2 linked regions of the Danio rerio genome follow. The protein of the gene in region 2 interacts with the protein of the main gene of each other region in a pairwise test. Links are inferred from orthologs where the notes say so. Each region holds a gene or a part of one and is shown on either strand. Other genes may lie near its edges.

What was found. The genes of interacting proteins can lie anywhere in the genome.
Region 1: the proteins of rab11bb (region 2) and rab11fip2 interact in binary tests that used the Homo sapiens proteins (3 or more experiments, as listed by UniProt). The link is inferred for Danio rerio from reciprocal best matches to the Homo sapiens genes RAB11B and RAB11FIP2.

Annotation. Positions count from the first base shown.
Region 1 is NC_133188.1:22,756,238-22,760,340, forward strand, and holds the start of rab11fip2 (rab11 family-interacting protein 2), read right to left. Parts: upstream 2,888-4,103; 5' UTR 2,692-2,887; intron 425-2,691; 5' UTR 172-424; coding exon 1-171. UniProt on the Homo sapiens protein: A Rab11 effector binding preferentially phosphatidylinositol 3,4,5-trisphosphate (PtdInsP3) and phosphatidic acid (PA) and acting in the regulation of the transport of vesicles from the endosomal recycling compartment (ERC) to the plasma membrane.
Region 2 is NC_133177.1:59,799,901-59,802,223, reverse strand, and holds the end of rab11bb (RAB11B, member RAS oncogene family, b), read right to left. Parts: intron 1,502-2,323; coding exon 1,421-1,501; intron 1,057-1,420; coding exon 911-1,056; 3' UTR 596-910; downstream 1-595. UniProt on the Homo sapiens protein: The small GTPases Rab are key regulators of intracellular membrane trafficking, from the formation of transport vesicles to their fusion with membranes.

The DNA of each region.
Region 1 (4,103 bases), on a different chromosome or scaffold from region 2:
GTTCAGGGTCTTCTCTGCCACCGATGTGGAGTATTTTTCTTTGCCCAGCTGGATGATTGTGTAGGCATCATTGGTTCCATTCTTGCCCTTTGGTTGCAGGTCTGTGGCTTGGAGAACAGTGGCTTGGACATGGGTTGGAAACCACTTTTGCGACTGTTCGCCCAATGACATGATGAATTCAAGTGTAAAATTATGGACTTTGGTGTGAAGTGATGAAGTGTAGAACTTTAGTTTGGCCTTTCCATTTTTCCTTTAGCTTCCAATCAACAAGAAATGAGCGACTGAGAGGTAATACAAACGAAAGTTGTTCAAGGGCAAGTGAAGAGCATATTTAGCATTACAGTCACATCTATTAATGGAGCAGGTAATGATTTTGTTACACTCCGCAAACACTCCACATTCACCCCGCTTCAACTTAGGTCACCTATAAACAAAGACAAAAGACAGAAAACAGTGTGAAAAAAACAATAGTGCATTTGACTTATATTTTTCAATATAATGTTAATTCATGATAAAATAAATATTACTTTATTTATATTTCTACAACTATATTGTACAATTAGTATTGGATTCATGTTAAGTAAACCATTTACAATGTAGAGATTGCATTAAGGTAAAACAGAAAGAGAGAGACAAAAAAACACCAAAATAAATCAACAGAAAATAAATAAAAGTACAATGATATTATATTGAATTAAGATAGAATTTATGTCAATAACAATGATAATCTCTGGGGGTTTTTTTACTCTATATCGACCTAAGAGCCAATCACACAGCAGAAATGTGCAACAATAGAGCTCAGGCAATAAACAATATCATATCTAATCATGATAAAATGTATGTCAATAACAATAATAAGCTCTGGAAATTTTTACTCAATATTGATCAATGCAAAGAGCCAGTCACACAGCTAGGCATGGGATGATAATCATTTTCAAGGTATACTGCGGTTTGAAAAAGTCAAGGTTTTAAAACTGGCAACATTTTTTGTATTACCATTCTTAGGTATGTGTAAGATTTTTACTTTACATTTTTTGTTTTGTTTTTTAGGACAACAGTTTCTCCAGCAGTTAAAAATGTCCATTAAATTTTGCTGTTTTAAATTGTAAAGAAATCTGTGTTTTTGAAACTAATGAAGACAGCAGAAGTCAATGATTCATTTAAATTATTTACCCTGACAGTTTACTGCTCTGAAACATTTTTAAAACAAAAGTATATATTGTGTTCAAAAGGAGAAAAAAGTTCTAGTTTTTTTTTTTTTTTTTTTTTTTTTTTTTACCCAGACAGTTAAAAAGAATAAATTTTAGAGCAGTGAGCACAACACCATGATACCCTGATATATCCAAGGTTATCATACCATCAGAATCTTATACCGGCTCATGCCTACAGCACACATATGCAACAACAGGAATCTGTAATTGTGTTGATATTAGGGAAATGCAACCTCACTCAGTATTGTTTATCGAGCTTGATTAACTTTCCCACTAGCAGTATTAGCTCTTAAACTGTTGCTTATTTTAATGATGTATATTTTTACAATTTCAATTAAGTAAAACATTTATTTAAAAAAAAAAAAAATCTGTAATTGTTCATTTTTAGAAAATGCAATAAGTATCTTTGTTTGTGTACTCTATGTCAACGACAGTTCTTCAAAATATTATATTTCACATTGTATATCATAAGTATATTATACAACATTGGAATCTCCAAAAAAAATTGCATAATGTGTCAACTGTTTTTGTTAATTAATAATACTTTAAAATATAATTTAATGAAGCGTCTAATCTTTGTGGCTTCAGTCATTGTTGGGATACTCTTTAAAACAGGAAGCATTAACAACTTATATCAAAATATATATCGTTATTAGTCAATATGAAAAATATTTGAGATTGCAATATTGACATATCGCTCAGCCCTATACAACGAGAATCTAAAGTGTGCTCATGTTGGAGATGTATTGAATTTTCAGTAGCTGAAAATATGTAATTTCATTTAATGCATTTTAGGAATGTTGGGCTGAAATTGCTTAGGGCCCCCAAATTAATAAAACCCCTGACAAGTAAACAAATAAATAAAACACAAGAATAACATAAGAAAAAGCAGAGTACTTCTAACAAACAAGTGAGACATAATAGGCAACACAACATACGTAAATCTGAGACTATATAGCAATTAATAAATCAAATAAAATTTATTTCCCCACAGTGTGCACATAAATTTGTAAAAATCAAATAGACTTAAATTATGTTGCCACATACAGTATACACACAGAAGTATATACTAGTAAAACATATATAGCATATAGTAAAAATATTAAGTAAAAAATACATAATTTCAGAAAAATAACGCTAAATGTGTGACAGCCATCTGTAAACAACTATTAGTAACGTAGCTTAGTAGTGCAAGTTTTTTTAGTGTCTGTAATATAACATTTAAAGAACTGGCAAATTATAACAGCTACATAATTTATTTACTTTTATGTCACTTTTATACTAAGGATTTTTTTTTTACCACCACATGAAGATGATGATCATCATCATCATCATCTTCTTCATGGTTCCCTCCATGCGGTCTCCTCTTATTTAATTGATCGGATATGATAGAAAAGCACCAGTGATGCTCGGCTAGCTGCATTGCCCAGTCTCAGTGGTGCTGTCAAACACCCATTCAGCACAATGCTCTGATATTTACCTGTGAAGCATCTTTCTCGAGCACAGCGAGCGACACCACAGCACGTGTGAAGAGCGCTACAGTGAAACCCTTTCAGTTCTCCACATCTGCGGTAAATGTAAATTAATAACTTACTCTAATCGACACTAATTCATCTTAAACAAATGTGTGGTATTCCACATCAGCCCTGCTCTCGACTTCCTGCTTCCTCATTTCCGCCGATGCGGTCATGGGTCGAAGTGTAGACTCCTCCTCTGTTGCCATGGATTTGATCAGCGCTGTTCCCGGGATTCCGGTGACTGGGCTGAGGAGCATTATTTTCAGCAGTGCGCTTTTGCTTTTGCTTTCAACCAGGTCAAGAATTTAAAAAAGGACAAATGTTGTAATGCATTGTATAATATTGCCAGTCAAATGTTTAGGAAAATTGAAAATACTAAAATGGTCCTTTATATTTTTATTAATATGTATATATATATATATATATATATATATATATATATATATATATATATATATATATATATATATATATATATATATATATATATATATATATATATATATATATATATTATTATTATTATTATTATTATTTTATGTTTTGAGCTCTCTTCTGCTCACCAAGTCTGCATTTAGGCTACTCCAAAATATAACAAAACGAAAACACTGAAGTATCATTATGTTGGAACATTTTCTTTTAAATGTTCCATTTTATGTTTTTCATGGTACTTTTATAAATACAATGTTTAAAATAACAGTGATAATTTCATATACAATATTTTGAAACATTACAGTATATAGGTTTAATGGCAATTTTGATTTATTTAATGTGCCCTTGATTATTAAAATATTTTGAGAAATTATAATAATGTGACATTGGGGTGTTGATATTCATCTCTGAATCACATGAATTAATTACATTTATTCTAAAATGACAATTTATCTTAATTAAAAAAAAAATTTCATTCATTCAATAATTTTCCTTCGGCTTGGTCCCTTTATTCATCAGGGGTCACCACAGCGAAATGAACCGCTGACTTATCCAGCATATGTTTTAAACAGCGGATGCCCTGCAACCCAGTACTGAGAAACACCCATACACACTCAGATACACTAATACACTACAGCCAATTTAGTTTATTCAATCCACCTATAGCGTGTGGCTTTAGACTGTGGGGGAAACTGGAGCAGCAGGAGGAATCTCACACGAACATGGGGAGAACATGCAAACTCCACACAAAATCGACAACTGGACAGCCGGGACTCGAACCAGCGACCTTCTTGTCATGAGGTGACAGTGCTAAACACTGAGCCACCGTGTCACCCCAGGAAAGAAAAAAAAGAAAAAAAAAATACAATATTACAATTAATTTATTGTGTTTTTGATCAACTAACTGCAGACTTTAATTATTTTCCAAATTACTTTAGTAACA
Region 2 (2,323 bases):
CTGCGAAGTCTTGTTTCAGCCCCGGCCAGCATTACTGAGTGTTACATCCTGCCTGATCTCCTGTGCATTACTCCAGCCCGTTTCTGACTCTGCTTTGCCTTCTGCCTGCCCACGACCCAAGCCTGATACACGGACTCTGAATCACGCCGCCTGCCTCTGACCCTTGCCTGGTAATTCACTCTGTGTCTGTCAGCCGCCAGCCTTGATACCTTTACTGCTACTGTCGATGTGTGTTTGCACCTTTGTGCATATTGTATGTTTGAGTAAGTGTGATTAATAAATACTGCATAATGGATCCCTCCGTGTCAGTCTCCACGTTACATTGTGACTCCTTTATATTCAGCAATTTTTTTTTTAAGCTAATTATTTGTAACTTTTTTTTTTTTTTTTTTTTTTTTAAAGAAACTAATTTTATTATTACTCATCTTTTAAAAGTACTTTTCACTCATTACTTAAAAGTCCTATTATGTAACTCGCATTACTTGTAATGTGTTACCCCCAACACTGTGTAAATGGTATACATAAATATATCAAATTGTTGTTTTTTTTAAATACTGAAGGTGGAAAGGCATACAAAAGGCACTTGCTTTCTTAATGAAAAAACAAAGACTTTTAATTAGAGTAAAACATGACAAGCACACCAGATTTACCAGATGTTTTAGGAGAATAAAAAGGGTTCATTTTAATCTGTGTAGTATTGTGGAATATTCCGTTGCATTCACACAGAAAAACCTGATTTGGACTTTATTAAAGTAAAGCACTGTCAGCGCAGTTAGATACTGTGTGTGTGTGGTCAAAAAACAAATATATTTATACATGTATATATTACAGAAATAAAAGTGAGAAGATGAGCGGCGGGACGTGATGAGGGACCCGGAGATGACTGACAGGTGAGGGCTGGTCGACGTGGTTACAGGTTTTGGCAGCACTGCAGTTTGTTGCTCTTCTGTCCGTCTGTGGTGGGCGGGACACTGATGTCCACAACGTTATTTCCGGGAGACTCGTCATGGGCCGACCGCTCCGCTATCTGCTTCTGTGATACGATACGGTAGATTTCTGCACAAACAAAGAAAGCAGGGGATTATCTGATCAGTTAGTGATCAACAAAACATTGGAGACATTCATTTTAAAATCTGATTGGCTGAGCCTGAGGCTGTGCAACATGACAGTATATATCATATGGTCAAAATAAAAAGTTTATTATTTCATAGTATGCTCAATCGTTTATGTCGTTAGTTCACAAAATACATTGTTCCCGGTAATAAGTTTTCATCATTTATATGCGCACAATATTACACGTGACTTGTTACAAAACCTGATTGGATAAGTCTTGTTCTAAAAAGCTGGTTGGATAAGCCTCATAATAAAATCTGATTGGACGAGCCTCGTTCTAAAATCTGATTACAGGATGTGTTTGTACCTGTTAGGATGTTTTTGAAGGCCTCTTCAACATTAGTTGAGTCCAGAGCTGACGTCTCGATGAATGACAGGTTATTCTTCTCTGTAAGCAAGCAGAGGGCGTTTGTTTATATTACTATAGTGGTTCTGTTACCAACGCGAGAATTACTACCACGGATCAAATACTTTAGTTGTTGTGTTACCATGGCGACTATAGAATTACTATCACAGATCATTTACTTTAGGTGTTGTGTTACCATAGCGACTATAGAAGTACTACCTCAAATTAATTACTATAGTTGTTTTGTTCTCATAGCAACAGAAGAATTACTATAACAGATCAATTACTACAGTTGTTGTGTTACCATGGAGACTATAGAATTACTACCACAGATCAATTACTACAGTTGTTTTGTTATCATAGCAACAAAAGAATTACTACCACAGATCAATTAACACAGTTTTTGTGTTACCATGGCGACTATAGAATTACTATCACAGATCATTTACTTTAGGTGTTGTGTTACCATAGCAACTACAGAATTACTACCACAGATCAATTACTACAGTTGTTGTGTTACCATAGCAACTACAGAATTACTACCACAGATCAATTACTACAGTTGTTGTGTTACCATAGGGCCTATGGAATTACTACCACAGATCAAGTACTATAGTTGTTGTTACCATAGCAACAAAATAATTAATACCACAGATCAATTACTACAGTTGTTGCATTACCATAGCAACAAAAGAATTACTTTCATAGATCAATTACTACAGATGTGTTACCATAGCGACTATAGATTTACTACCACAGATTAATTACTACAGTTGTTGTTACCATAGGGACTATAGAATTACTAGCACAGATAAATGACTACAGTTGTTGTTACCATAGCAACTATAGAATTACTACCACAGA